7 linked regions of the Cricetulus griseus genome follow. The protein of the gene in region 2 interacts with the protein of the main gene of each other region in a pairwise test. Links are inferred from orthologs where the notes say so. Each region holds a gene or a part of one and is shown on either strand. Other genes may lie near its edges. The genes, in order: Aanat; Bhlhe40; Smyd1; cytochrome c oxidase subunit 5B, mitochondrial; Rhobtb3; Aamp; Rbfox1.

What was found.
Region 1: the proteins of Bhlhe40 (region 2) and Aanat interact in binary tests that used the Homo sapiens proteins (3 or more experiments, as listed by UniProt). The two-hybrid records come from large-scale screens. The link is inferred for Cricetulus griseus from reciprocal best matches to the Homo sapiens genes BHLHE40 and AANAT.
Region 3: the proteins of Bhlhe40 (region 2) and Smyd1 interact in binary tests that used the Homo sapiens proteins (3 or more experiments, as listed by UniProt). The link is inferred for Cricetulus griseus from reciprocal best matches to the Homo sapiens genes BHLHE40 and SMYD1.
Region 4: the proteins of Bhlhe40 (region 2) and cytochrome c oxidase subunit 5B, mitochondrial interact in binary tests that used the Homo sapiens proteins (3 or more experiments, as listed by UniProt). The two-hybrid records come from large-scale screens. The link is inferred for Cricetulus griseus from reciprocal best matches to the Homo sapiens genes BHLHE40 and COX5B.
Region 5: the proteins of Bhlhe40 (region 2) and Rhobtb3 interact in binary tests that used the Homo sapiens proteins (3 or more experiments, as listed by UniProt). The two-hybrid records come from large-scale screens. The link is inferred for Cricetulus griseus from reciprocal best matches to the Homo sapiens genes BHLHE40 and RHOBTB3.
Region 6: the proteins of Bhlhe40 (region 2) and Aamp interact in a two-hybrid assay, tested with the Homo sapiens proteins (2 studies listed by BioGRID and IntAct). The link is inferred for Cricetulus griseus from reciprocal best matches to the Homo sapiens genes BHLHE40 and AAMP.
Region 7: the proteins of Bhlhe40 (region 2) and Rbfox1 interact in binary tests that used the Homo sapiens proteins (3 or more experiments, as listed by UniProt). The link is inferred for Cricetulus griseus from reciprocal best matches to the Homo sapiens genes BHLHE40 and RBFOX1.

Annotation. Positions count from the first base shown.
Region 1 is NC_048600.1:129,173,543-129,177,698, forward strand, and holds Aanat (serotonin N-acetyltransferase), read left to right. Parts: upstream 1-1,257; 5' UTR 1,258-1,538; coding exon 1,539-1,701; intron 1,702-1,978; coding exon 1,979-2,133; intron 2,134-2,608; coding exon 2,609-2,914; 3' UTR 2,915-3,492; downstream 3,493-4,156. UniProt on the Homo sapiens protein: Controls the night/day rhythm of melatonin production in the pineal gland. Catalyzes the N-acetylation of serotonin into N-acetylserotonin, the penultimate step in the synthesis of melatonin.
Region 2 is NC_048601.1:35,827,387-35,831,632, forward strand, and holds the start of Bhlhe40 (class E basic helix-loop-helix protein 40), read right to left. Parts: upstream 2,841-4,246; 5' UTR 2,518-2,840; coding exon 2,438-2,517; intron 2,272-2,437; coding exon 2,202-2,271; intron 1,927-2,201; coding exon 1,819-1,926; intron 792-1,818; coding exon 668-791; intron 1-667. UniProt on the Homo sapiens protein: Transcriptional repressor involved in the regulation of the circadian rhythm by negatively regulating the activity of the clock genes and clock-controlled genes.
Region 3 is NC_048601.1:62,932,879-62,936,580, reverse strand, and holds part of Smyd1 (histone-lysine N-methyltransferase SMYD1), read left to right. Parts: intron 1-2,148; coding exon 2,149-2,325; intron 2,326-3,702. UniProt on the Homo sapiens protein: Methylates histone H3 at 'Lys-4' (H3K4me), seems able to perform both mono-, di-, and trimethylation. Acts as a transcriptional repressor. Essential for cardiomyocyte differentiation and cardiac morphogenesis.
Region 4 is NW_023276807.1:11,509,059-11,513,131, reverse strand, and holds cytochrome c oxidase subunit 5B, mitochondrial, read left to right. Parts: upstream 1-1,401; 5' UTR 1,402-1,455; coding exon 1,456-1,558; intron 1,559-2,099; coding exon 2,100-2,173; intron 2,174-2,342; coding exon 2,343-2,442; intron 2,443-3,249; coding exon 3,250-3,362; 3' UTR 3,363-3,441; downstream 3,442-4,073. UniProt on the Homo sapiens protein: Component of the cytochrome c oxidase, the last enzyme in the mitochondrial electron transport chain which drives oxidative phosphorylation.
Region 5 is NC_048595.1:297,070,761-297,074,974, reverse strand, and holds the start of Rhobtb3 (rho-related BTB domain-containing protein 3), read left to right. Parts: upstream 1-1,219; 5' UTR 1,220-1,648; coding exon 1,649-1,650; intron 1,651-1,748; coding exon 1,749-1,974; intron 1,975-4,214. UniProt on the Homo sapiens protein: Rab9-regulated ATPase required for endosome to Golgi transport. Involved in transport vesicle docking at the Golgi complex, possibly by participating in release M6PRBP1/TIP47 from vesicles to permit their efficient docking and fusion at the Golgi.
Region 6 is NC_048595.1:427,521,431-427,525,897, reverse strand, and holds the start of Aamp (angio-associated migratory cell protein), read left to right. Parts: upstream 1-1,620; 5' UTR 1,621-1,712; coding exon 1,713-1,833; intron 1,834-2,276; coding exon 2,277-2,435; intron 2,436-3,244; coding exon 3,245-3,364; intron 3,365-3,953; coding exon 3,954-4,093; intron 4,094-4,353; coding exon 4,354-4,467. Other genes in the region: probable hydrolase PNKD, read right to left, coding at 299-467, 1,199-1,265. UniProt on the Homo sapiens protein: Plays a role in angiogenesis and cell migration. In smooth muscle cell migration, may act through the RhoA pathway.
Region 7 is NC_048600.1:39,617,969-39,622,337, reverse strand, and holds the start of Rbfox1 (RNA binding protein fox-1 homolog 1), read left to right. Parts: upstream 1-1,557; coding exon 1,558-1,656; intron 1,657-4,369. UniProt on the Homo sapiens protein: RNA-binding protein that regulates alternative splicing events by binding to 5'-UGCAUGU-3' elements. Regulates alternative splicing of tissue-specific exons and of differentially spliced exons during erythropoiesis.

The sequences.
Region 1 (4,156 bases), on a different chromosome or scaffold from region 2:
GGGAACCATCTACTTCATCTTTTGGGATAGGGTCTCTTGCTGTTCTGAAGCTCACCAAGTAGACTAGGCTGGCTAAGGGAGCCAGTGAGCTCCAGGGGTTCGCCCATCCTGTCTTGCCCGTTCTAGGACTGCAGATACTGGCAATGGGTACTGACTCTGGGTTTTTCTTATGTTTTGGGGGGATTGTGCTTAGGCCCTCATCCGGGAGCTATCTCCACTGCCCACCTAAAATAAGAACATTTTTATTCTATTTATTTAATGTGCGTGTGTGGGTGTGAACATGTGTGAGACAGGGGCAACTTGTAGGAATCGGTTCTCCCTCTCACTTGGGTTCCTGGGATCAAACTCAGGTTCTCAGGCTTGGTGGCAAGTCCCTGTACCTGCTGAGCCACCTCACCTTAACTCCCCAGCCCCTTTTGAAGGCAGAGACATGGAAGGCATCTTTATAGGGTGTCATAGGAAAGAGGGTACCCACAGGGGCATCTGCCATGAGTCTAAGCTGGTGGACAGTCTCCCTGAATGCCCCCCATACCAGGCCACTCTCCAGTCTCAGACTCTTTAACCATCTTATCCCTCGTCTCCTGAGCATGACCTAGTCTTGACGTCATCTGGGGAAACGGGCGCTCAGCCTCACATTAATTAAAGAGCTTTTTCTCCTGGACTAAAGTCTGGGGCAACCTAAAAGGAAGGAGAGATGACTCAGAGATTAAGAGTCTGTATCCCTTTCCCTGAGGACTTGAGTTCGGTTCCCAGCACCCACACTGGGTAGCTCCAGCACCAGGCCCAATGGCTCTGTCCTCTGTGGGCTCCTGCACGCATGTGGCATAGCCATCAGATACACCTCCTTTAAAAAACAAGAACCAAACATTCTCATGGCCACTGTACTATCTCATACAGAAAGAAGGCTAGAAGTCTCCTTTTGGGTGAGAGAAGCCTTATGACCTCAGTATCAGAGGCCTGGGTGTCTCCCACAGATTCAGGAGAGGAGGCTGGAGGTTCATGCAACATTGCTCCACTGTCCCCTTGGGCAACAGGGTTGGGGTGGCCACAATCTGCCAAGGCTCAGGTACCTGGAGGGCAGTGGAATCTGTCTGGAGCATTGGACAACTTCTCAGAGGGACCGATAGCTCTTTTGTTGTTGTTGTTTATAATTTATTTATTCTTATTTTATGTGCATTGGTGTTTTGCCTGCATGTGTGTCTGTGTGAGGATGCCCTGGAATGGGAGTTACAGACAGCTGTGAGCTGCCATGTGAATGCTGGGAATTGAACCCGGGTCCTCTGGAAGAGCAGCCAGTGCTTTTATCTGCGGAGCCATCTCTCCAGCTGACCTCTAGCTCTTGAGTGAAAAGAGGAGATACACTAACATTCCAAGTTCCTGGAATTTGCCTGGAGGTCCAGGCACCTGAGGACGGCACTATCCCCAGAGATACCTGACTTACATTCTTCAAGACGAAGGCCAGGCTCCCTGTCTTCTCTCACAGGAGCTTAGAGACCACTTCTGAAGCTGGAGAACCCCAGGGAGGGTTCAGCGACCAGATGCCCATGTTGAGCATCCACTCCCTGGAACCTGAGGCCATGCACCTGCCGCCTGGGACCTCAGAGTTCCTAGGCTGCCAGCGGCGCCACACACTCCCTGCCAGCGAGTTCCGTTGCCTTACCCCCAGGGATGCTATCAGTGTGTTTGAGATTGAGCGTGAAGGTGAGTGGCTCTTGGGAAGGTGCTCGAGGGAACTGTTGTCTTCCCCTGAGGCTCCTGCCTTTGGGAGTTAAATTTGAGAGAGAGAGAGGACTGAGGGAGGGAGGGAGAAAGGGAAGGAGGGAGGGAAGGAGGGAGGGAGGGAAGGTGCTCTCGAGTAGGAGGCAACAGCCCAGAGTCAATGCCTTCCTGGAGGGGGGCGTCTGAGTGACCACTCGTGAACACAAACAGTGAGCAAGTGGCATAGCAAACAGTCGCCCATCCTTGCCTTCCGCCGTAGCCTTCATCTCTGTCTCTGGTACCTGTCCCCTCTACTTGGAGGAGATCCGACACTTCCTGACCCTCTGTCCAGAGCTGTCATTGGGCTGGTTTGAGGAGGGTCGCCTTGTGGCCTTCATCATCGGCTCACTTTGGGACCAGGAGAGACTTACTCAGGTGAGGGCAGGGTGAACTCCTCAGAGATGGAAGTCTCCTTCCCAGCAGGGAGTAAATGCAAGCAGCAGACCCTCCCAAGGCAAGAGCCCTCTGCCCAAGCCTCTACAGCAGGGTTCTCAGTCTTCCTGATGCTTCGGCACTCTAACACAGGTCCTCACGCTGTGGTGACCATAACATTACTTTTTGTTGGGACTTTTATTACTGTAACTTTGCCACTGTTATGAATCGTAATGTAAGTACCTGTTTTCCGACAGTCTTAGGTGACACCTAAAACTGCCGCTTTAGAGTCTCGAAAGACCACTGAAGCTTTGTCTGTAGGAGTGTAGATGTGGCTCACAGTGGGGCCCTGTCAGGGTAAGAAGGGAGCCTGGGCTTCTCCCGGTACCCGGGACACCCTTCCTCTTGGTTAGGGTTGGGTTTGGAGGAGCAGGTTATCAGCAGAAGTAACCCTGACATCGTCCCTTACCCACCCCAGGAGTCACTGGCACTGCACAGGCCTGGAGGCCGCACGGCCCACCTGCACATACTGGCAGTGCACCGCGCCTTCCGGCAGCAGGGCAAGGGCTCTGTGTTGCTATGGCGATACCTGCACCACCTGGGGAGCCAGCCAGCCGTGCGCCGGGCTGTGCTCATGTGCGAGGATGCACTGGTGCCCTTCTATGAGAAATTTGGCTTCCAGGCTGTGGGCCCGTGTGCTGTCACCGTGGGCTCCCTCACCTTCACGGAGCTACAGTGCTCCTTGCGGTGCCATGCCTTCCTGCGCAGGAACAGCGGCTGCTGAACCAGGCTGCCTGCTTGGCCATGGAGAGGTGGGAGCAGCAGGCTGGGGGTTCCTAACTCCCATGCCACACCCTCCTCTGCCTAGAGCCCATCCAAGTAGAGCTGGCTAGCACGAAGGGAGACAGCAGCTGCCAACTGGAGTAGAGAGGTAAGGGTCAGTGAAGAGGACAGGAGGTAGCTCCGCCCCAGGGCAGGCTGCCACCTGCCCCCAAAGGCCCTCTTGCATTCTGAACTGTGCACAAAGCCGAGACCAGGATAGGCAATCAGTGCAATGGCAGGATTGTCCCCACACTTCCTCCTCTACCCACTCTGTTTCTGCATCCCACATCCCAGTGTAGCTCCCTGATTCCTGCGGTCCTTGCCCTCCCCAGACTGACACCCCTTCCTGGCTCCTCACAGGAATGAGGGCCAGCCAGGAGCTTAATTTGAGAAGGGCCTGGGGCTTGGACCTGTGAATGGTGGCGAACTTGGAGTAGGGACATGCTGTGGGGCCACGCCCACTGCACCTGGGCACCAGTGTGCCCACCTACCCGCTCGCCCAGACTTGCCTTCTATTCTGGTTCCCCCTAATAAAGTCCCACTAATAAAGCAGTTATGTCCCAGTGGCTGACTTATGGGTGTGTACAGGGTCTTCTAAGTGAGCTGACTGGAGAAGCAAACACTGCCTGATCTCCCGCTAAGAGTGCCTCTGCCAGAACAGGCCATTTCTGCAGATGGTCAGCCCTCTGACTGCCCGAGAGCAAAGGCAGAGCAGTTGGGGTTAAAAGGTCTCAGGGCTCTACATGCAACCCAGGCCTCGCAGGGTTCTCGGCGTCTTTGTGATGATCGAATCTGGTTTTGGGCTCAACGAAATGCCAGAGAAATCCTAAGTTCTCTAGTTTGCCTCAGCCCCGTGGCTGCTGCCCTCTCACCTAAGTGTTTATTTTTTAAATTAAAAAGAAAATATTTTTGATAGGGTCTTACTAGATAGCTCAGGCTGGTCTAGAACTCACTATGTATACCAGGCTGCCCTCAAGTGCCACCATGCCTAGCTTTCAAAATGAAAAACATTAAAAAACTTTATGTACATGTGTCTGCATGTCTATCTGTGTAGCAAACATACAGATAGAGTTGGATCCCCTGGGACTGTAGTTTCAGGTGAGCCGCCATGTGGGTGCTGGGAACTGAACCCAGGTCTTCTACAAAAGCCGCCAGTGCTTTTAATCTTGCCAGTCTTTGAGTGGTTTTTTGTTTATTTTGTTTT
Region 2 (4,246 bases):
CCTTGGCCAGGACAGAGAAGAATGCCTGAGGGGTACTTGTAAAGGATTCCCCCTGGCCTGTACTGTATGATCTGGAAGGGAGAGAAAGAAGGTCAGACGGTGTCTCTGAGTCTCTGAAACTCCGTAGAAATGAATGATGAAACCAGTGGTTTCACTAGATTGTGCAATTCGACAAGATACCTAGTGGCTATTCAGGGAACCACAATGAAATACAGGGGAGAAAAAAAAAAAAAAAAAAAAAAAAAAAAACTACTGTCATCCTGCCAAGACTGCACCCTATATCCAAAGACAAGGAAACAAAGAAACAGGAAAACACTAGGGGCAGACCCTTGTTCTGTTCACCCATGACCGACGGCTCAGATCAACTGTAAATCACCCACAATGCAAATTACAGGAGTCTTGGCATTTTAAAGGAGAATGGGGAAGTCTCCCAGATCCTAGACACTCTCAGGCCAAAATGTCACATTTCATCACTGGACTAATATGTATTCATTCCAGGTGGCACACAGCAGCATTCTGAATGGAAAGTATGACCTTTTAGGAAACAGAAAAGCATCTCTTCTAGTGGATGTGCGAAAGTGAATGGTGACAGGAGGGTCAGAAGCACAGTGAGCCCAGGGCTCTAAAGAGGGAGCACTCAGAAGATACTATCAGACCCAACACTCACCAGCTTGCAGACCGCTCTGCAGGGCAATGATTTTTTGCTGCTGCTGATCAATTAGATTTGTCAATGCTTTCACATGCTTCAAGGTGAGCTCCAGAACCACTGCTTTCTCCAAGTGGCCCAAAGTCTGGAGGAAAAAAACAAAGAGCTTCTGTCACCTGTGAAGTCGGAGAAGTCCCCACAGACACTTATTTGTGATGAGAACTGGGTGTAAACAACAGCAAAGACAGGAAGGGCCTTTCCCGCTTTACTAAGTTTAAAGTTTGCAGATGTTTTAACATATACACATAGATGACCAAAGGATTAAAAACAAACAAACAAAAAAACATGTGTCATCTATCTTTGGAGGCCTTTTGGTAGCTGTTACAGTCTCAGGAGTGAGCTGACAGATAGATTTCTCCAGCAGCTGCCCTGACCTTAACTCAGGGGACTCCAGAGATAGCATTTCTCTGCTGTGGTGTCAACCCAGTGAGGAACATCTACTGTGTCTGGCAACCAGGAGGCTTTCCCTCCCCTCCCGTGTGTGTGTGTGTGTGTGTGTGTGTGTGTGTGTGTGTGTGTGTGTGTGTGTGTTTCCCTGACACCCTTTTAGAACTTCAGCTCGGCTTTCCCTCCCCTCCCGTGTGTGTGTGTGTGTGTGTGTGTGTGTGTGTGTGTGTGTTTCCCTGACAGCCTTTTAGAACTTCAGCTCATGAAGGCTTTTCATCTTCCCTTCCAAATACTTTTCACGAAGGAATAGCTAGAAAGCTTTTGGCTACTAGTAAAGGATATGACGGAAAGAAACACACACACACACACACACACACACACACACACACACACACACGGGATGGAAGATGGAAAAGGAAAAGGGCTTAATTTGTGTTTGTGTGTGCGAGTGAGCCTTTAAGTCAGAACTACAAGGCGATGGAAATTACCAAAAGGGAGCTATGCTAGTGTTGGAACCAACTTAAAGAGGCCTCAGAGAGTGATGGTTCTGCCTTTGCCTGGAAGTCCTGGGACTAGGGATGGGTTCCCTCCAACCCAGAACTACCCGGAGCTTTGATCCGCCCGTCTAGCCTGCAGTTCCTCGTGACGCCTGCAGGCGGCGAGTGACCCCCACCCGCCCTCTGGGCAGAAGAGCTGGGTTGGAGCAAGGCCAGCTTCTCACTTACTGTAAGTTTGAGGTGTTCGGGTAGAAGATCTTTCAGCTGGGCAATGCACTCGTTAATCCGGTCACGTCTCTTTTTCTCAATCAGCCGATGCGGCAATTTGTAAGTTTCCTGCAAGGAGTACGTGGAATGATGGGTGCCTGGGAAAGGGAAAGCGAAGCCTCCCTTCCTCCCCTCCCGGCAGCAGGGAAAAAATCCTGCAAGGGCGCAGATCAGAGACGCACCCAGAATCACCTTTTCTGTCCCTTCTTTCCCAAGTCACTCAGGTGTGACAATGAGCTCACCACATCTTGAACCCCCAAGCCAACCTCCAGGCAAGCAAACTTTTCTTGGAAACTCAGCGCACGCGAGGGACTAGGGAAGGGGTCCCCAGAGGATGCACCTACCTTGCTGTCTTCGCTCCGTTTTATCCCCCTTCTGGACTTGTACACTTGGTACATGTGGGCAAAATCCATCCTGTAGGGAAAGGGGACAGAAAGAGCCGTGACTCCCGAGTGTGCACTGGCTGCAGGAGCCCTACTGATGCAAGAATCCCCGTGTTCCCAGAGGTGCCCCAAGTTGAGAGAGGCGCAGAATACATAGCTAGGAGCGGAGACTTGATGGGGTCACAGTGCACACTTACCCTGACAGGTCTCCGTGCTCCAGTCCTGGCGCTTTAGGCAGGCAGGTAGGAGGTGGTTGCGCGCTGGGGATCCGCTCCATGATGCGGCGAGCCGGGGCCACTGCGCGCTCCTGTCTGCACTTAGCAGAGCGTCCGAGGGAGGACTGCCCTGGAAGGGAGGATCCGAGGGTCTCAAGGGGTATGTTCCTCTGAGCTAGCCTGAGCTCCCTTGCAATGAGCTGGGCTGCCAGGAGCCGCGGCTTTGAGGCGTCGCTTAGTTGGGGGCGTGCATGGCCGGGTGTCCCCGCGGCTTCTGGCTCCCGCTCTGCGCACAGACTGGCGGTGTGTGCTCGCTGCGCTGTCTGCGCCTTGCGAGCCAAGTGAATGAGAAGTGGGGCGGGCGGGGAGGCGGGAGGGAAGGGAGGTTGCTTAGGGCGGAGCGGGGGGGGGGAGTTGTTGGAGGGGAAGAGCCGAGGAGTAAGGAGAGGCTGCGGGCTGGGTTAAATGGGAGCGAGTGGGTGGGTAGAAGCTACGTGTTCTACCCTGTGACTCCAAGCACGTCTGGCCGCTGCCGGGGAGGGAAGGAGCGACCTGCCCGCCCTCCCCCGGCTTCATCACATGAGTCTCACGTGTTGGACAACGCTCTGGCGGCTGCGAAGTGCCCCCCCCCACCCCAACCTCGGGCCCCAGGTGTCTGCGGCTGCGGCCTCCTTTCCCCGAAAGAGGGGGTGGCAGCGCAGCCCGAGTCCTGCCCAGCTGGGTGGGGGGCACGGAAGCTGGAAGGAACTGGGGGGGAGGGGGGTTGGTAACGTGGGCGAACCTGCCCCAGGGAAATGAAGTAAGTTCCCGTCTCCTGGGAGGGAACGGGGGAGGACGGATCCGCCCGCGTCTGACTCAAGCCGGGAGAGGAATATCCCCTCGGTCGCTCCAGCCCAGCCCTCTTCCTCCTCCCCCGCCTGGCCCGCTCCTAGGAACCGGTGCGCAGCGGAGGGAGTCGTCGCCCCCCTCTTGGCCTTCCCCAGAGGCTGGGGTTTCTTTCCGTCCCCGCTTCCCAGCCCCCCCCCCTCCCCAGCGCTCACCCCAGTGTCCAGGAATTGCCCGCCTTGGGGAGGGACCGAGGGCGGGGCGGATGTCACCCCATGGGAAGCGGGCAGGCGGCCAGGCGCTAGGGCAGCCGAGGCCGCCGCCGAGCACGCCGCGCGCACCTGACCGTGGACCGTGTGAGCTGCGCCGGCCCCTCACTCTCCCGGGAGCTCAGCTCCGGGGCGCAGCCTGCGGGTGGCCCGGCACCCGACTGGCGCGCACCCATCTCCTCCCGCCTTTCAGGGTGCCTCACTGCCCCCACCCACCCTGGCTAGTCAAGCACAGAAAGATACCGGGCACAGTGCCCAGCGTTCCCTCCCTCCTCTGCCCCCTCCGGAGCAGAGGCGTCCGGGTCGCCTCCCCTCCGGCTGCAGCGTTACACAACCGCGGCGACGGCGCCTGCCCTGCAGCAGCGCGGGGCGTGACGCTTCACGTGGCCCGGACGCGGGTCGTAGCTCCGCTCGCTGCAAGCCTCTGCACCGGCATCCAAGCTGTGACCCCCGCGCACAGGGGCTGCCAGCCTGCAGGGGATCCCGCTGCTAACCAGGAACTTGGGTGGCGCTGTTTGCGGTCTATTCCAGGGCAGGAGGAGAAAAGAAGGGGAAAAAAATTTAAAAAACCTCTTGGCCTATCAGAGTGAAATCTCCACATTTATGAAGCACACATTCACTGAGCCCCTTTCCCATTGTTAGACTTCGTGCTAGAGACAGTGGAGAATCAACTGCGGATTTTGACCTTGAATTTACA
Region 3 (3,702 bases), about 27 Mb from region 2:
TTAGTACACAATATAGGTAAAATTTTCAAGTATGAGATACAGATGTGTATATATGAATAAAAATATGAAGAGTCGCTGTTAGAATGTTCTAAAACATCAGTTTGGAAATAAGATATCAGAGAAGTCCTAAGGGATCTCTGAACAGAAATGTGTGGAGTTAAAAGTGACAGGTAGCATGACTGTGTCTGTGTCTAACCTGTCCTCTTCAGATCCTGTCCTGGTCCATTCCTTTGCCTTCCTGCCTTAAGTTGGTGTTTCCCAGCCTGAGGCGGATACTTGTCCGGCTTCTTTCCCAACCTACGTCAGGCTCTCAGACTTGTGGAAGACTCCAAGCTCAGGATACCAGTATAAAAGATGACCAGACAGTTCAAAATGACCTTGGAAGTTTGGAATGCCACACTGAGAGCAGCTGGAATAAATGTGAAGCTTACACTTCCAGTTAGACAACCGAGTGCCCTGAGTGGCTCTCTGGCAGTGAGATCTGGGGCTATCTTAATGCAGTATATGTCAGAACCTAGCATAGAGGTGGATTGGATGCTTTGGGAGACCGACATAAGCCTTTAGGGAGCACAGCAGAATTCTACAGTTTAGACCTCAATGGTACCCCAAAAGGCCCAGTGTTGAAGGCATGGTCCCAGCCTGTAGCACTGCTGGGAGTAGTGGATCCTTTAGGAGGTGGGAAGTGTGCCTGTGAGGGGGTGTTTTTCCCAGCTGCCAGGAGGTGAGTGACTTCCTCTGTCATGCACACTTGTCATGAAGGCCTAAAAGCAAGGGACCACCGACCAAGGACAATAACTCTGAAGCTGTGACTTAAAACTTTCCCTATTTGTAAGCCTTTCTTCTCTTAAAATGGATTATTTGGGGGCATTTTAAAATTATACTTCTCTCTCTCTCTCTCTCTCTCTCTCTCTCTCTCTCTCTCTCTCTGTCTCTCTCTCTCTGTCTCTCTCTCTCTCTCTCTCTCTCTCTCTGTGTGTGTGTGTGTGTGTGTGTGTTGAACACATGGGTGAACACTGTGAAAACTGTCGAAGGACAGTTTGCAGGAATTCTTTCTTCTTACTGTGTGAGTCCTCAAGATTTAACTCATGTTGTCAGCCTTGGTGGCAAATAGTTCTATCCACTGAGCTATGTCTGCAGCTTATCATTATTATTATTATTATAATATATGGTTATTGTTATTATTGTTGCCATTATTATTATTACTACTGTGCTAGGGATTGAACCCAGGACCTTGTCTATGCTGAGCATGCTACCGCTAAGCTACAAGCTGGTTCCATATGCATACATGGGAGAGTAGCTCCACTCTGACATCTTGATTAACCCTCCCTCCTGAAGACCCCACTCAAAACACATAGTCTAAGTGTTTCCACTGCCTCCACACTTCTAAATGGCAATTACAACTCACACATCTAGACTGTACTCCAACTGTAGCAGGGCGTATGGAAAGGGCACTTTACTGGCAGGCAGGAGACCTGGGTTCCAGTTTTGACTCAGAATATGGTCTTTACCATTTTGAATTTTAGACTTGCACTTTTCAAAACGAAGGTCTCATGCTAAATGTCTCTTCTGGATGAAATTAATCCTTGAGCAGACAATTTTAACTGTGAGCAAAGTAAATCTGTTTTCTTCTTTTTGTTGTTCAGACTGGCTTCAAACTCTCCACCCTCACCTCTGTCTTCCAAGTGCTGAGGTTTCAGGTATGCTGTCCGCCAGGCTAGGTCTCTTTTCTTTATGGCTTACCTAGTTTGTGGTAATGTGTTATCTGCAACAAAATATGGCCAAAGGCATCCCCTGTTTTTAAAATGATTTAATTTTTATTTTTTAAATATGTGAATATGTGTAGCCAGGCTGGCAAAAAAAAAAAAAAAAAAAAAAAAAAAAAACCAAAACCTCCTGATCTTCCTGCCTGTGCCAGGATGCACCACCACAACTGGTGTGAATGTGTGTATATGTAGGTGTAAGTGTGTGGCCACTGAGGCCAGAGGTGTCAGATTGCCTGGAGCTGTCATTACAGGTGGTAATGAGCCACCCGCATAAATGCTGGGACCAAATGCCTATGCAAGAGCAGTATTTGATCTTAGCTGCTGAGCCATCTCTCCAGCCCCAGCCCTTCTTCTTGACTTGAATTTCCCCCCTCTCCACTTTCAGCCTCATTAACGTTGTGTGCCACACCTGCTTCAAGAGGCAGGAGAAGCTCCACCGCTGTGGCCAATGCAAGTTCGCCCACTACTGCGACCGCACGTGCCAGAAGGATGCTTGGCTGAACCACAAGAACGAGTGTTCCGCCATCAAGAGATACGGGAAGGTGCCCAATGAGAATATCAGGTTGGAGCTGGTCCCTATGATAGGGCTTGGGATTTCCAAATGTCAGGCTGGGTCAGCAGAGGTGATAACAGCAGCATTCCCAGCCCTCAGGATGCCAGGCTGAGTGCAAAGGTCTCAGGTCCTTAATTGCACTCACCCCGTTAGGTCCGAGACAGACACTGGGCATCTATAGCAGTGAGGAAAGGCCCACAGGCCCCTGCATAGCTCCTCAATATTTAATTACAAAAAAACCCTGATCTTCCAAACTTTACACATTGTGGAAAATTATTTCTGGTTTCTCTGGAGAACAAGAATAAAAATGAAGTTCTGACAAGATGCATTGCAGCTAAACAGCATGTGTCTTAAGAGGCGGTTTTCCAAGTCAGTGAGCTCGCTGTACAATGTCCTTCTTGCAGCCCAGACACAGGCACTGACAATGCAGACCTCCACAGGAGCCACTGCTAGGACCTCAGCCTAGCACTAGAGTTCCAGCTGAGAGCTCCCAGGTGCTGCTGGCCCTGCTGGCGTTGTCCGTGCTGGGATGTGGTTAGGTGTGTAGGCTGACCTAGGAGCAAAATGGGTGAGGATACTGGTAATTAAAAGCATTTGCAGGGTGTATGGGGCATGCCAATCAAGAACGGGGCCATGGAAACTTTCAGGAATCTACAGGATGAAACTCCATTAGCCTCAGCAGCCTCCTTGTTCTATCTGCTGGAGTCATATTCTTCAAGACCTGAGACTCCCGATCTCATTCCTCGGCGCAAATCCCACTCACTGATCACATCTATTACCGACCTGAAATCTGTCACCCATTGTTCTTTCTTCTTGGGACCATATCCCCAGATACTAATCTTTCCCACACCATAACCTGAACCTTACTTTCCCCATGGTGCTCTGGGCTCTGTGTAGAAACTTTTGATTCCCAGGCACCTGGATAACCTAGAAGTGCACATTTGTTGTTGTTGTTGTTTTTGGAGACAGGGTTTCTCTGTGTAGCTTTGGAGCCTGTCCTGGAAGTAGCTCTTGTAAACCAGGCTGGTCTGGAACTCACAGAGATCCACCTGCCTCTGCCTCCCGAGTGCTAGGATTAAAGGCGTGCGCCACCACTGCTCAGCTAGAAGAAGTGCACATTTCTAAGAATAATTCTTACCCAAACAGAAAGAAGTAGGGCCCGCACTGTGCCAAGCAAGAGGAGAAATCTCTCCCTGCAGGAGCATGTCTTCCTGGACCACAAATCCCCAGTCAGCAGGTGACAGTGTGACACTGTGGGTCTCTGGGACACAGAATTCGTTTTGTAGGAATGTACCACCTAACAGTCAGCAAGAAAGCCCTTGGGGTGAAGTACACCACTCTCTGTTAGACTCAAAGGCCATTAGGGTCCCTTCCTGTCCCATTTTG
Region 4 (4,073 bases), on a different chromosome or scaffold from region 2:
CAGGTATGGGCTGCCAAACCCAGCTTTATGTGGGCACTGGAGCTCAAACTCAGGGTCCCGTGGTTACATTTTATGGACTGTGCCATTTCTCAGCCTTCACACATCTGATCTTGGTGACCAGAATGAGGGTCAGATTTTCTTGAGCTGGACAAGTCCTGACAAAATTCTCCTCTTTTTAGGGAAATCTATGAGAGTGAGAAGCAAGTATATATTAGATACCTTTTTATCGCTGTGATAAGACACTGTGACCAATGCAACTTATAAAAATGTTGAAAATAATCTACACATGGCAGGTGGCAACACCCAGGAATTTAGTCCTTTGTAGTTGCCCTCAAATTGACCTATAAGCTTTATATTTGGTCCAAACGGCCAGACTTACTAGAAATTATTTGATATTATTATATGCAAGACCTCTACAAGGTATTGGAGCACAATTAGGGAAGCACAGTTGTGTTTGAAAGTCCTCTAGCCGTCCTGCCATGAGTTTTCACAGTTTACCTGCAGTGTGCAGTGGGGAGCAATGGGATGTGTTTTCCGTTTAAATTAGAGACCTCTGTCCACTGTAACTATTGTGATTTCTAATTGCATTATTAACTTTCCTTCCTTCCTCCTTCTAGAATCCTCCTCATTGATCATAACTTCGCAGAGTGGCCACCAGGAGGTATCCTGCATCCATCCCTGGGGCCAACACCATCACTTCTAATGACACTGTTAAAGGAGGAAATTGAGGTGATGCCAATACTTTAATCCCAGCAGGGGTAGCCAGATCTCTGTGAGCTCGAGACCAGTCTGATCAACAAGCGAGTTCCGGGTCAGTCAGGGTTGATTGTACATAGTGATTCCCTGCCTTAAAAAAAAAGAAGGAAGGAAGGAAGGAAGGAAGGAAGGAAGGAAGGAAGGAAGGAAGGAAGGAAGGAAGGAAGGAAGGAAGGAAGGAAGGAGGGAAGGAAACTGAGGCCGAGACTGTGGGGAGGTCCCGTCAAATTCTGACAGGGTGGGACTACGCAACAGATTGGTGATGGCTAATGCTCTGCCTGAGGACCCGAACCGGCGACTAACAGGCACGTCAAACAAAGCTTCCCGAGCTCAAGCCCATCTGTGTCACTTGTGGTGCAGCAAGTCCCCACTGAGGGGGACTTCAGCTTCCAACAGCACCTCCACCACAGGAACGTCAATGTGGCCGGGACACACAGGCGCGAGCACGCAAGCGCAACAGTGGCAAAACCGAAAGCCGCCAGCTGCCATGGTGACTGACGCCACGCCTCCGAGGCTGACGGAGTCTGCGCGGCGGGCGCAGAGGCAGAGCTGCTCATGCGCAGCATCTACCTTAGCGGCCTGGGCAGGCCGGGGGAGGAAGCGGAAGGCTGACTGGTCGTTGACTGACGCCCATCGCCGGAAGTCCCGCCTATCTTGCCGAGCCCGTTCCCGGAAGTGCATCTGCTTGTCTCGGGCGAGATGGCTTCAAGGTTACTTCGCGGAGTGGGAGCTCTGGCGGCGCAGGCCCTGAGGGCTCGTGGGCCCCATGGCGCGGTTGCGACACGCTCCTTTGCTTCTGGAGGTTTGTGGCCAGCTGGGCGCGCCAGGCCGGTGTCCGGGGCCTCGGGGGTGGTTGGTGATGGCGCGGTCGAGCGGGGTCGGCCATTGAGCTGCTTCGGGCCCTGTTGACCACCTCACGCTCCCGGAGTCTGCGCTCCGAGCGGTCTGGCTGTAATTTCGGCCGCCCAGCCCCCGCCCAGGATTGACCCCGATTCTAAAGTGCCCTGACTGGAAGGTGCCGGGTGACCTTGAGAGACAGGGACTGTTGGAGCGGTGGGAAAAGACTGGACCGATTTTGAGATTCCCTGCCCACCTCCAGCCAGCTATCTCTCATTGATTACTTGGTTTTTAGAAAAAGTCGAAAAGCAAGCCTCGGCGGCTGGAGGGGGAAACTTCCCCTAAGGCTTTGGGAGTCATGACTCAGTGGGCTTAGGGGACTGTGGGAATGGGTGACTTGAGAGCCCACCAAAGACGCTTACAATGTCACCTTTCCCGTGTTGATCATTTGAGCGTGTATTCATCGTGGTCCTATCAGTTGGCATAATTCATTTTTCTTCTTTTAGGTGGTGTTCCTACTGATGAGGAGCAGGCTACAGGGCTGGAGAGGGAGATCATGATAGCAGCAGAGAAGGGACTGGTAAGGAAAAACTCCCTGTGTCTTCTGGAGCCCTTGGACTTGGATGGGATCAGAGGAGTCTCCAGTCAGCCAGCATTTGGTCCTGGAAACCCAACTTGTAGGAACAGCCCCTTTGCAGTGTAGTTGCAGGGGATGTCTGTAGTAACTGGTCAATTCTTGCCTTTTTCAGGATCCATACAATATGCTACCTCCAAAAGCGGCTTCAGGCACCAAGGAAGATCCTAATTTAGTCCCTTCCATCACCAACAAGCGAATAGTGGGCTGCATCTGTAAGTACCTTGCCTTTATTGTCTGTCCATTTGTTCATGACCTGCTACACAGAATCTCTGTAAATTGCTTCAGATCTGTGCATGTGACTGACTATATGTGCATAAAAAATACTGGTATAAATTGTCCTAAGTGTTCTGTCTCAAGCCTCAGAATGCATGAGAGCCACTAGAGTCAGATGCCCCTGGAGCTGTAGTTACAAATAAGGTTGTGAGTCATCTGATAGGGATACTGGGAATTGAACTCAGGTTCTCTGGAAGAGCAGTCTATGGTCTTAAAACATGTTGAACCATCTTTCCAGCCCAGATTTTTTTTTTTTTTTAAATGTATACAGTCTTCTGCCTGCATGCCAGCAGACTGTGCCAGATCTTATTCAAGTCGGTTGTGAGCCACCATGTGGTTGCTGGGAATTGAACTCAGGACCTCTGGAAGAATATAGTCAGTGCTCTTAACCGCTGAGCCATCTCTCCAGCCTCCAGCCCAGATTTTATATATAAATATATTTGTATGCCAGGCACTGTTTTAGGCTCTAGAGATACAAATAAGTACTGATCCTGCTTTGGGATTCTGTGTAGGGAATGGAATTGTTAGAACCTACAGTGACCCTGATACAAGGTTATTTTACTCACAGGTAAACTCAGCCCCATTTTTTCATTTGAAAGAGCAGAGTTTGCTTGAAGTGACTTCTTAAAGTCAACCACAGTTTTTTTGGGTTTTTTCTCTAAAGTGTTTGTAGGAAAAGATGAATGTTGTAAGTCTCCCTTTGTACGCTGGAGCTGGATGACTTTGAGCTGCCTTTTCCCTTTCAGGTGAAGAGGACAACTGCACTGTCATCTGGTTTTGGCTGCACAAAGGCGAGGTCCAGCGATGCCCCAGCTGTGGAACCCATTATAAGCTGGTGCCCCACCAACTGGTCCACTGAGCCTCTGTGTTAACTTTTCAGAATGTGATGGAAAGTTTATCTCTAATAAAGACTAGCCATTGTATTGGCTCCTCCCATAGGTGGCTAGTCTTATTTCTGTAGGTTTTATTTGTTTTGTTTGTAGACACGGTTTCTTTGTGTATTCTTGGCTGTCCTGGCACTCACTCTGTAGACCAGGCTGGCCTTGAATTCACAGAGATCTGCCTACCTCTGCCTCCCCAGTGCTAGGATCAAAGGTGTGCTCCACCACTACTGCCCGGCTTCTATAGATTTTTTTTTTATGTTGAGATCAGTTGTTTCTTAATACTGGCTTGACATCTACTGAGAATGTAAAACCAGTATAGAGCTGTTAGATTTTTATTTAATTTTTTTTTTTTTTTTTTATATAAGGATGGTGGGGGCAAAAACCAAGGAAGATTTTAAAGGGTGAAAGCAATGGCAATATTTGGACCTTGCTTGGATCCTGATATGTTTTGTTTGTTTGTTTTGTGTTTTTGTTTTTGTTTAAGATTTTTCTTATGTATACAGAATTCTACCTGCATGTACACACGCAGGACAGGAGAGAACACTAGATCTCATTATAGATGGTGGTGAGCCACCATGTGGTTGCTGGGAATTGAACTCAAAACCTCTGGAAGAGCAGCCAGTGCTCCTCACCTCTAAGCCATCTCTTGAGCCCCGGATCTTGATGTTTTTATTTTTGCAGTAGTA
Region 5 (4,214 bases), on a different chromosome or scaffold from region 2:
TTTCTGTTGGTCCAAGAGGAAATGTGACACAGCACATTTGAATCTTCCAGGATGCTTATTTCCAGAGACTAAAAGAAACTGTACTTGGGTACAAAGGGAACTCATTTATTTGAGGCAGGGTTTCACTATGTAACTCTGGCTGTTCTGTAGCTCACTATATAGACCAGATTAGTTTTTGCTTTTTTTTTTTTTTTTTTTTTTCCCCACTGACCTTCTTTACTAATATATGACTAATTACAGCTATTTGGGACGCTGAGGAGGGAAGACTAAAAGTTAGCCTGAATAACACAGAGCCATCTCAGGCAACAAGAAAGGAATAATAAACAAACGACATAGAGAATGTCTCCTGTCCTGCCCTACCTATGGACAAGTAACTAAAACACTGTTTCAGACTAGCAATACTGGTTCCTAATAAAAAGCTGCTGACACTACCTCAGTCTTCCCAGGACCCTTTCAAACACCTCCTGTTTCCCAAAACGGGTCCATTGAGAAAAGAAAAAAAGCCCAATTTCAAAGCAGAGCCAATAACTAAAAGGATAAACAAGAACATTTTTAACAGGGTTTTGGGTGTTTGGGAGAATTTTAATGTTTATGGAGGAGCCCCAGAGTAAATCCTGGCCCGTCCTAGCATCAGCAGTCTCTCATGGTGTTTTATATTGGAGGCAGCCTGAGGCCCTTTAAAAGGGGCATCCGAAAGCGTTATTTCTGCCTGTCACTATGAAAGAATCGAAAGTATCCTTCCATTAACATGGTCCTTATTTTTCAGTGAGCTATTATTAAATAATGTAACTGGAATGTGTGCTGAAAAGAATCCAAATAAACTGCTAGAACTTTCTTTTAAAATAATCACATTAAAAAATCCCGACACTTTAAATTCCGCAATTTTGGTTAAAGTATGCCAAATATAGCTTGCAATAGTAAATGACCTTTTCAAAGCGACATCGACAAATTAATTGGTGCGTGAACAAAGAATCTTTTCTGCAGCTTCATGAATGTTGCCTTTATTTTCTTTTGCTTCCCAACTAGGATTTTTACAAAACAGTGTAGCGCATGCTGACCACTGACAAAACGATAACACACTGCGGGTGAGGGCCAACGTGGGCACAGGACCTCGGGATCGTCAGGGGGCTGCCCCCCAGCCCTGCTCTCCTCTGGTCCCCGGCGGGGGCCAAGCTGCCCCTCCCCCGCTCCCGGCTCGGGTTTCAGCCTTCCGAGTTGAGCAAACTTGCTGCAGGCGGATTGGCGGCGAGCAGCTCCCGGGCTCCGGCGTCGTCCCCGCGCCCATCGCTCCTTTGTATCCCGCGGCCGCCGCCCGAACTCGTGGGGGAGGGGGGGTACGGGCAGGCAGCTCGCTCCCCTGCGCGGCGGACTCTCGGGGGGACACGTGCGGGGCCGGGTCACCGCGCGGCGGAGGCGGAGCCGGGGCGGAGGCGCGGCGGCCAGGGGCGGCGACCGGGGATCTGCAGCGCTGCCCGCGCCCGCGCCGGCCGCTCTCCCGGGCCCGCTCTGCTCAGCGTTGGCAGCGCCGCGGTGCAGGCGCGCGAGGGCCGCGGCCGGGGATGAGCTGACTGCGGGGAGAGCGTCTACCCGGTCCTCGCGAGGCGAGGCCGCCCGCTGCCGTCTCCCCGCCGCCCTGCCAGCCGCGATCATGTACGTACGCGTCGCCGTCCTGCCACGGTCCGGGTTCCGGACGTGCCACGCGCCCTGGCTGCGCCCACCCGCTCACCGCGCCTCTCTCGGCTTCGCAGGTCCATCCACATCGTGGCGCTGGGGAACGAAGGCGACACGTTCCACCAGGACAGCCGGCCGTCGGGGCTCATCCGCACCTATCTGGGGAGAAGCCCGCTGGTTTCGGGGGACGAGAGCAGCTTGTTGCTGAACGCGGCCAGCACGGTCGCGCGCCCGGTGTTCACCGAGTACCAGGCCAGTGCGTTCGGGAACGTCAAGCTGGTAGTGCACGACTGTCCCGTCTGGGTAAGGGGCAGCGACTACGCGGTGTCCAGGCCAAAGGAGCCTGTTGTTGTTTGGACCCCTCCTTCCCTTGTTTCCTATTTTCCTGACTGCCTGGAGAGAGGGTTGGTTTGCTTTTTTACTTTTCCTTTTTTTTCCTTTTCTTTTTCTTTTTTTTTTTCTTTTTGGCAAATCTCGTCCTTTGTTTCAATTTGGAGGTGGTGGGGCACACGTCTGCAAAGTTGAAAGCCCCAGGGGAACGTAGAGCAGTCACTGTGCTTCACGACTGTGACTTGTCCATTAGTAGACAGCTGAGAGTTGACTGGGCCAACCCCAAGGGACGGGGTCACGAAGTTCCACTGGCCAAGAGACATGTTTTCATGTCCACCCTGTGGAGGATAGGGAAATGTGTTCTATAAATACCGCTCAGCATAGGCAAAAATATTCTTCTCAGGGACAGGTCAGAAATAGTATGGAAAAAGGGAGAAAGGTCGGGGTTTGAGAACTAAGTTTAAATGGCTCGTTTTGTAGACTATTGACTTCTGGAAAAAAATCTAGTTCTTAGTGATGCAATACTCATCGGTTTGGCTTTGTTTTTAATGATTAATAAATCAGAAATACCACTAACATTACCTAGCATAAAAAAATCTTTATGTTTATGAGAGTTTGAATGAAAGAAATCTATTCTGACTCTCGAGTGTTTGATGAAAGGACAAAGGAGGCTTAGGTATCTTCATCACACAGTAACACTGTATTTCAAGTGTTTTTGTTTACTTTTAAGTAGGTGGTTGCTTGCTAATAGTGTAGTTATATGTGCTTCAGCTAAAGATAAATATATATGAATGAAACATTGGGGTCTCAACCAAGGCACAAATTATGTAAAATTCTTACATTCAAAAGGCGTCTTTTCTTTTCTTTTCTTTTTAATTTATTTATTAGTTCTAGTTAGGGAACAAGCTTGTTTCACATGTAAGTCCCTTCTCCCTCTCCCTCTCCCTCCCCTCACCCCCATTCCTCCTCCCCCACCCCCAGCCTACCCCCACTCCATCCACCCACCACTCCCCAGGCAGGGTAGGACCCTCAACGGGGGCTCTGCAAAGTCCACCAAATCTTCCTGTGCTGGTCCAAAAGGCATTTTTTTTTTTTTTAAGCTGAATCAGAGCTCAGGGTAACTAGCTTACTTTTGAACAGAAATGTGTAGAATGTACTGAGAAAAATTTCTTGAGCATATTTTCCTATTATGGAAAGAAGGCACCCCTTTTACTGGAAATGTATATTAATGTGCTAAAATAAATTTTAAGTAAACTTTTCAATTAAAAGGATGGACTTAGCCTTCAGGTATGACAGAGATGATGGTATCCAAAGATGCCACTAGGGAGGACTTAAGGACTGATGTATGTGCCAGGACATTCACTTTGGGCCCTTTTATTATGAAAGATTTAATGGCCTTCAACTATTACTTGTTCAACATACTGTTGAACAAATGTTTAGTTGATTGAGGAAATAAATACAGAGCAAAAATAAGATGACTAGGAGTGTTGGGGCTGTTTTTCCTCATTTTTTGGGGGGGGGTTGAGTTGTTAACCCTTTCCTGCCTGTGTTCCTTTAGCAAAGAGCCGCACATTGTATAAGAATAAAATAGGTGAAACAAAATCTGTGACACCAAGATTGTCACCAGGTACAATTTCCCAGATTAGGATGGGTGGGTCTTCAGACACAGTGAGTTGCATGCGTAGAGTCACTCACTCTGAGCTGCTGTTTCCCCTTTAACATAAGTAAATTCTGCCAGAAATATGAAGGTGGGTTATACCCATCAGCTGTTTTGGCATAGGTACTGAATCATAGTATCAAACACAGCACTTTTGACAGCAAAGAGAACTGATTTCAGATCCCACATTGCCACTGCATATGTTTTTTTGTTTGTTTTGTTTTGTTGTAAATCTTTTACCTTCTCTTAGGCTTGTTTTCCTGTCTATCCTGGAACCGTGCTGAAGGGTAAAGTCCCAAGTGTGGAGGCTGTAGGTGCTAAAAGTGATAGCTGCTATAATAAAGTGCATATTATAGCTTTAGTGTAGTCATATATTACTTATATTAGGCGTGGGAGAGTTTCTCACATCAAAGTTTATACTAATGCAGGACCTTCAGTGTATACACTAATCAAATAGGATGAAGTCCTTGTTTCTTTGTAGGAACTCAGATTTTTTTTTTTAAGATGAATTTGATTCTCCATTGTGGCTCCAAGTTTGCTGTTGCATAACATCCCA
Region 6 (4,467 bases), on a different chromosome or scaffold from region 2:
TTTCAACACAATTTTAAGTGATTACTGAGACTGGGATCTTATCCCAGCTCCCAAAAGGAAGGATGAAGCCAGTGACCCAAATTCAAACCAGATCAGCTCAAGTTGCTCCACCGTAAGACAGTCTCCTCAAAGTTCCCCTCACCATCTCACCCCCATCTCACTCTGAGCTTCTATCCCTGGAACCCAGCGATTCTCTTCCTTTGGACTCAGCTCATCATCTGCAACTTAAGTTTCTAGGTTGACATCCATCCCTTGCGTGCATTCCCCACTGGTAGGCAAAGGGGCAGTTAAAACTCACCAGGCTAGTCCCACAGCTTTCATGGGGTTCTTGCCCCTCTTTCTGGGGATGTATTCCAGCTCAGGAGAGAGGGGCTCAGGCTCCTCCTTGCATTCCGGTGAGCTGTGGCTCTGCAGTGCTCTGGTCCTGTTCTGGGAAGCCTTGTTAGCTGTGGCTCCAGAGAGAATCCCTGTGAATAAAAGAACGGTGGGGGTAGGTCAGTATAGGATGAGGGAGGGGAGGAGCGGCTGAGTTTTGAGGGAGGGGAGTGACTGCAGTTTGGAGTAACAAGTGCTGTGAAGAATCCAAAGAGAAATGGGAAAATCGCCATCGAGGTGACACCTTTGGAAGCTACTTCCACGTCACTGCGGGATCCTCATCCTCGTGCCAGGACAGCGAGCTTTGCTGCTTTCTATTCAGAAGACCGGTTGGGAAGGACTGCAGAGACATACGTATGAAGGAAATCCTGGGAACTGTTTTAAAACTACAGGACCTTAGCTATTCCTAAGGATAGCTAACTCCATCCCCTCGTATTATAGAAGAGGAAACTGAAGCCCCGAGAGACGAGCTGCTCCGCACAAGGTCAAACCGCTAATTACCCAGTGCTAGAACTCAAGCCTCCAGAAGCCCAGGGCTCGCTCTTCTGCACTGCGGTGAGTGTGAAACCCCTGGAACGCGCGGGTGACGAAAGGCTTCTTTGGGACTCCCTCTATCAACAAGACCCTAGACATGCAGTGTAACCTGAACGCAGGGGTTAGATTGGGTGACCTCTAGAGCATCTTTCACCCCCAGACTCTCTAAGATCCTGCCGAGAGGTATGGACAGCAATTAGCAGCCTGACTTCCTGCTGTCGTGCTGGGTGGAATGTGAAGGGAATGGGATCTTTTAGAGCCCTGCCCTCCCGGGGGTCCCTCTCCTTACCCCGGAGGACGCGGGCATTTCTGGCCCCCCGGCCCTTCAGCGCCGTAGCAGCTACCACCGCCGCCATGTTCAGGTCCCACCCCCCTTCACTGCGCTCCCCGCCGGGAATTGTAGTTTGCGTAAGGGGCCTCCCCCGCGCCTTCCGTCGTGCCTACAGCTCAGAAACTACATTTCCCAGAAGTCCGCGTAGCGGGCCCGGGAGAACTACTCCTCCCAGGAGACCCCGGAGGCGCGCACGCTCGCTTGTTTCCCTCCAGCTGGGGGCGGAGTCATGTCGGGAGGAGCTTGGGTTCTCCCGCCACGCCCCGGCCTGGTCATCCCAGTTCTGCCTTGTGATTGGCGGCTCTGTCAGCCCACCTCCGTCGCTATTGGTCCGGATTCCGTCGCTCTTTCGGCCGGGAGTCGCCTACGCCTACTTCCTCCCGGGAGGAGGGGCTCGAGTTCCGCGTCGTCGCGCAGAGCTGACTCTGGGAGGCGTTTGGGCCCAGAGAAGTGGATCGGTAGGTTTCGCCGCATGGAGTCCGAATCGGAGAGCGGAGCGGCCGCTGACACCCCGCCGCTGGAGACTCTAAGCTTCCACGGAGATGAAGAGATCATTGAGGTGGTAGAGCTGGATCCAGGCCCGCCCGACCCGGGTGAGAACTGTCGCTCCTCAGGCCATGGGACAGGAGGCGCTCACCCCTGGCCTCTGACCCCTGCTTCCTCCCCCTCCCCCCTTCCCTACCGGTCGTTCCTACCGACATTTCTCTCCCAGCCCTCCTTCCCTACCCCCCACACTTAGTTTCGAGGCCTGGCTGGGTGGGGGTTCCCTGACGCCTCCCCTGGCCCTTCCCCTCACACACCCCCTTCCCGTCATGCCCTCTGTCCTCTCTTCCCACACGGTCGCTGGCCAACGCCAGGTCTTCAGACCTAGCCTCTCTCCCCTTCTCCGCCCCCCAAGCGCTCTCCTCCTCCTCGGTACGTGTGGGACGACACCTTAACCTTTGGCCACATGACCCACTCTGGCGTCGTCCTATTCACTCTTCACCCCATTCCTCTTATATCTTTCGAGATCCATCTTTTAACGCTTTTCCCAAAGCAGATGATCTGGCCCAGGAGATGGAAGACGTGGACTTTGAGGAAGAAGAGGAGGAGGAAGAGGGCAATGACGAGGGCTGGGTCCTGGAACCCCAGGAAGGGGTGGTCGGCAGCATGGAGGGTCCGGATGATAGCGAGGTCACCTTTGCATTGCACTCAGGTAGGCCTTTGAAGGGGCTCACCTCAGATCAGTGCAGATGGACTTTTGAGTATGACCAGTTGGCCCTGAACAGGATATTATGAGAGACAAATAGGAAAGCCTGCAGGAAATTCACAGGAAGGACCAAAGGGATTAGATTTGGCAGTGGTGTCAAGTGAGACACCTAGGTTCAAATCCTACCTCTGCTGTTTATCACCTTTGTTAGCTTTCTGGATCTTGGTGTTCCTTTTTAAAAAGTCAACTTGGTAGTGGTGGTGGTGGTGCACACCTTTAATCTCAGCACTTGAGAGGCAGAAGCAGGTGGATCTCTGAGTTTGAGGCCAGCCTGGTCTACACAGAGAAACCCTGTCTGGAAAAACAAAAGAAGTCCTCTTAGATGAAAGTGAATGGACGTAATCCTGGTGGAAATTAAAGGCAAGTGACACTCCAAAAGTAGCCTTAACGATAATCTTCTCAGGAGCTAGTTCTTTGTAAGCCAGTCTCATGAGGCTCCCATCACTTAATTCATACCCAGCCTGGTGGAACCCTGTGCTGTTAGCTGTGCCCATGGACCCACCGCTTGGCTTGTACCTCAGAGTGGGATGGTAATGGGAACAGGACAGCAGCAGGAGGAGGACTTGTGAAGGATTTCCCTAACAACCTAATGCTTCAGACAAGAACTGGGTCTTGCTACTGGGTGTAGCCTGTCCAGGAGAGAATACCTGTGGCCTTGGGGAAAAGGGGTGTGCCTCCCCAAAGGTTTTGAAGACCAGAACTCTAGGTGAGAGCCCAGTTCCATCCCCTTTCTTGTGGACTATCTCTTGGGACAGCATCTGTGTTTTGCGTGAGCCTGGACCCCAAAACCAACACCTTGGCAGTGACAGGGGGTGAAGATGACAAAGCCTTTGTGTGGAGACTCAGTGATGGAGAGCTGCTCTTCGAGTGTGCAGGTAAGAGGCTGGGAGGTTGTGTCCCTCTGGACATCTTGGCAGGTGGCCTGTGTGAACGCACAGCGGCTATTTACTAGCCTTTGTCTTGTGCTGGATCCAGGAACCCACACTAGAAGAATAACTTTTGTGGGCACTTGGACAGGAAGTGCTAATTGGCCAAAGGAGTGTGGCTAAGGTGGGCACGGGAGGAGGTGGTACTGTGTAGGAGTAGATAGAGGCACGGAGAACAGAAGACAGAAGTATGGCCTGGGAGTCCCAGGCTTTGGGTGGTTGAACAGTGGGGTCAACAGTATCTTCTTGGAACACCTGGAGTTTCTGGGCCCTGGAGCTACAGTGAGTTTGGTCACTTGTTCTGCTGAGGCCCTCCTACCTTTTTTCTAGTTAGTTGTTTTTTAAAAGGTAGCCAAATATATGGGTCATATGTCCCCAGCATTTAGACACCTTTTACTGTCCTTCCTTTTCTGCCACTTTTTCTTTTAAGTTACATAGTTTGGGTTGGCCTTGGATTTACTATGTAGCCAAGGCTAGCCTTGAACTTGCTACACCTCAGGCACATTTGAACTGAAAGTCTGCCCATTTCTCTTTGCAGGCCATAAAGACTCTGTGACATGTGCTGGTTTTAGCCATGACTCCACCCTAGTGGCCACAGGGGACATGAGTGGTCTTTTGAAAGTGTGGCAAGTTGATACTAAGGAAGAAGTCTGGTCTTTTGAAGCAGGAGACCTGGAGGTGAGATCCTTGGAGTGGGCTTCAACTCTGTGGGACCTCAAGTAGGGATGAGCACTTCTCAGAGGGGGAGGGGCAGGCATAGCCATACTGGAGAAGGTTGCTTTGAACCATAGTAACCATAGTAGCTCAGCTTCAGCACTATGTCTGTTCACCAGTAACGTACATGCTAACCCTAGAAGCAGGGACACATGGGTGGGGTTCATGGACTCTCAGATTGGCTGGGTAGCAGGCTTGCTTGCTGATCCTTCCTCTCTGCCCAGTGGATGGAGTGGCACCCTCGGGCACCTGTCCTATTAGCGGGCACAGCTGACGGCAACACTTGGATGTGGAAGGTACCGAATGGTGACTGTAAGACCTTCCAGGGCCCCAATTGC
Region 7 (4,369 bases), on a different chromosome or scaffold from region 2:
ATCATGATTTTACTATTGCCAGGATTTCCCCCCTTGTGGGAATCAAGGACGAATTAGAGTCTTCATATTTTCTCTTAATTCACAGATCACATCCCTTTTTATTGCATAAAGACTAACGAAATCTACTAATGAATAATTATTACTTCATAAGATAAAGGGGAGGGGGAAAGATCTGCCTGCAAGAGTGGAATGTTAATTTGGCCAAGGAGGCCAGGCAAGAGGGGAAAATATAAAATAAAACCATTTCAATTTGCTCTCTGCATCACGAACAGTAATCTCTTATAAGACAGGGACTTTTGTCTACCCCGTGTATTTATAATTTGAGAAGAGCAACGGGTTCTAGGCTGGGAGAAGGCCCCTTGCATTCACCTCGAGCTGGCATTTTAGTGTAACAGCTGCGTGGATTCTCCAGTTAAGCCGCACCGCTCGGGGCTGCTTGCCCCGGGTAGGCTGATTCCAGGGAGAAAGCAGTGCCCCTAGAGCAGCGGGGGGCGGGGGGGGGGGGGCAGAGACCTCCTCGAGCCCCCACCCCTGCACAGACAGCACCCCAACCCCTGGCGTGTCCATCACCCCCAAGCTTCTTACAAAAGGGGAAATCCCTTTCTTGTGTTTATTTGCCAACGAGTCAGGCAAACAAACCGCCAGCTGAAAATCTCCCGGGCTCCTTAGTGTCCCAGCTGAGCAGTCTTGTTAATGGTCCAGCTCCTTTGATTGCTGGAGATGTGGGGCGCTCATACGTTCGCTCGCCCTCTCCCTCCCATCGGAGGATTTTAGCAGGCAAAATTTAAATTTTGGCGAGTCCTTTTTTAAAAAAAGAAAGAAACCCACAACCCTGCCCCTGGACCTCTTTGACAAATGAGAAGACTCCCAGCATCAGCACCAAGCGAGTGAGCTACAGTGAAGCTGTGAGTCAAAACCTCTCTCTCTCTCTCTCTCTCTCTCTCTCTCTCTCTCTCTCTCTCTCTCTCTCTCTCTCTCTCTCTCTCTCTCTCTCTCCCCAACCCCTCCCCCCTCTTCTCCTCTCCCTTCCTTCCTTCTCCTCCCCCTTCCCTACTACATATCCCTGTCTTCCCTCTCTAGCATCTCTATCAGGGCATCCTAACCCCTGTCTTTCATAGAAGTCGACTTTGCCCATTTTTGTCACCTTTAGGGGGTGGCGGAGGTGGGTGGGATGAGGGGCACCTTCCACTTTAAGAGCGCTCCAACAACAGGCCCAATAAGCCAAGGGGAGCCAACACTACTTCCCAGCCTCTCCAAGTGTCTTTAGTTGAAGGCTGATGAACGCTGGGTACTAGCAAACCCGAGGGCGAGGAGAGCCAGGGAGGAGGGACTCTCTTGGGGTGCGGTGGGGGGAGGGAGAAAGAGAGAGACGAAAGAGGAAGAGAGAGGAAGAGGGACAGCCACTGCTGCGTGAGTTAGATAATCAGCAAAAATTAAAAAGAAAAAAAAAAAAACTGTAGCGACTAGGCAAGAGGGTTAAAAAAAAAAAAAAGCAACGCGATTGTAGATTGTATGTGAGCATCTCCGCTCTCGCTCTGCGGGCACCCGAGAATCGCGATGCAGCATCCTCTGACGGGGGCCACCTGCGTGGCACTCCCCAACGTGGGCATGTGTCCCCAGCTCTCGTGTGCCTTGACTTTTATGTACTTACAGCAGGTAAGACGCGCGGCTCTTTCTCAGCGGCAGCTTCTTCTCAGCTTGACCAGACTGGGTACCGGTTCAGTGGGCTGCGCGTTGGGGGGTGGAGGGTGGGGGGTCTCGATCATTGGGACGAGGTTTGGTGGGAGCTTCTGGTTTTCCGTTAAGCCACGATGCTATTTTAATTCACCTGTCTGAATACTTTGTGAACACCGATTTCCAGCCTCAGGGACCGGGAATTTGAAAATAAAAAACTGGCTTTTTCTTGTGAGCATCTTTTCTCATGTCAGAAGTCCCAGAGGTGGGGTGAGGGGAGATTTCTAGGATGTTGAGAGAGTTTGGGGCTCTGTGAAGACATCCTGATGTTTGTAGTTTTAATTCAGCTGTTTTAATGATTGACACAAAGTGTGCATGTAGTGTGTGTGTGTGTGTGTGTGTGTGTGTGTGTGTGTGAGAGAGAGAGAGAGAGAGAGAGAGAGAGATCTTTGTTAAGTTTGTGTTATCTATCCATCCACAAGAATCAGTACATTGGGATATCTGGAGCTTGACAGCCCCCCTACCCAATCTTCTTTGAAACTCCCCAGCATTGGGTGAGCATGGGTAGATGCTGTCTTGACTGGCCGGAACACAGGGTGGTTTGTTTGCTTCTTTGGTTGTTTCTATAACCCAGGCCTGTCCACTCCCTGACAGTGGTCTTGCCAGATGTCTGTTGGCTTCATTCCCACCCAGTCCACATCTGTGAATTTTTGGATTCAGTTCTTGCTCTGAGTGTCTGCTCTGGGCCTCAATGGGTCTCCTCCTCCCTCTTACTAGAAAGGCTTCTGCCGAGTACAATACTCCGGGGCTTTGGAAACCACCTAACACTGTCCTGTGGGGAAGCAGGCCAGCTGTATCACGGGGCGGGGTCTGTGGCAGTGAGTTGGCAATATTAGAGGGGTTTTGTCTGCTGGTGGGAATCCATGACCCGACTCACTTTGGCCTGTCCTATGAAGTTTTCACCGGGGGTAATCCTTTTGCCTGCCTTTCAATGAATTCACTTTAAGAATAAGATTGGTTACATGTGTGTGTTAACAAAACTTCTTTTCCAAGAGTTGAAAGGAGCCCCTTTCCTCCAAGATGTCCCACTCTAATTTGTGCTACAGAAATATATGTCTTCATAAAATGTCAGGGGTTCTGTTTTGAACATTCGGGTAATTTGTTATCAGCTCGGTTGCCAATTTTTTTCCTCCTCATATTTACTGCTGCTAGTCTTTTTTTGAGAATAGCTCCTTAAAAACATCTTGTGAATAAATTGGTTTATACATGTATTTGTTTTATTTTGTTTCCCATTTAGTCAATCATACCAGGAACCATCTCTTAGGAAGGTATTGATAATATATGTGATTCATCAGCATGTACCATTTCCTTGCCTCAGTTGTGAGTGTGTGTCAAGTGCCGGTGCATTTTACATCAGTTATTTGTCACAGAAACATTCCAGTAAACATTTCTTCAGTTGCTAAACCTCAGCTGGATTGAATCAAACAAATTACTAGAGCAACTGGTTTTTTATCCTATATTTGTGCCTTTCATTTTATTTATGAATCAACTGGATTATGTTATTTAAGACGTAGAATGTTATGAGTGCGCAGTGCTTACTCTGTTTCTGGGGCTTATGTGTTTTAACTAATCTGTATTTCTGCTTCATCATTAAACTGGTTTGCTCATTGAAGAATTTAGGAAGGAGGACAGTGGCTTTGAACAAGAATCTATTCTTCTGTGAAAAGGAAGGGTGCATCATGTGGCACCAATCTTTCCCACTGTGGAATGCACCTGCTTTGGAGAGGAGCCTCACAGGAAGTGCTGGCAGCCATAACAAATATTTAGAGGTGACTAAATCAACAGCACGATTCCCCAGGAAGGTAGATGGGGGACGGTCTTTGAAATGAGGTCTCAATGTGTTCTCCCCACGACTGAGTGAGGCATGGGGTCAGAAAGGTGAGAGTGACAGAAGTATGTCCCTTACTGAGGTTTACTAAAATTCTGAAGTATAAAAAACGGGCAGACATTTATTTTTGCTTGTCCTATTTACAATCAAGGTTTTTAGCTGCCACCACTACCCTTTCCTAAAATTCACTATCAGAGACCTGTGCCTTGGGGTCATCTCTTCTGACCTTTTAACGCCATGATTCAAAGTCAAGGTCAGAAAACTGGCTGATTTACAGAGGAGACAGTCCCTTTCATCTCCACAGGCCACATATCAGTACAGACTACACATCTTCTGCCCGTGTGGAACCACTATACTTTTTTCTGCTACTAATCTATGGCTAATATTACATATCCATGTATTTGATAAGCAGAGAGCTAGTTCATACTTTCAAAGCATATTCATCAAATAGATGACTGAATCATGCTTCATTTATGAATAACAATACCTTCATTAGAAGAATTAAATTTTGTGTGTAGGAAAAAGGTATGTGTCAGAAACCACTGTCCTCTTCATCGCCAGTTTACATACAAAAATAATTAAAATCCTCCTATCTTTTGTGAAACATTTCTCATCCTGTTTTTATCCATGCACACGGTCTCATGTGTTGGGGACTCCTGGGTCCTCACTGAAATATTTTATCTTAGAATGAAGTCTTATATAGGGACTATCTCTTACCCAGCACTCAAGGAAAATGACTCGGTTATATGTGTTCACTGGCCTTGATCTTAACAACCCGTTCCTTCCTAGATACTATAAGACAACTCA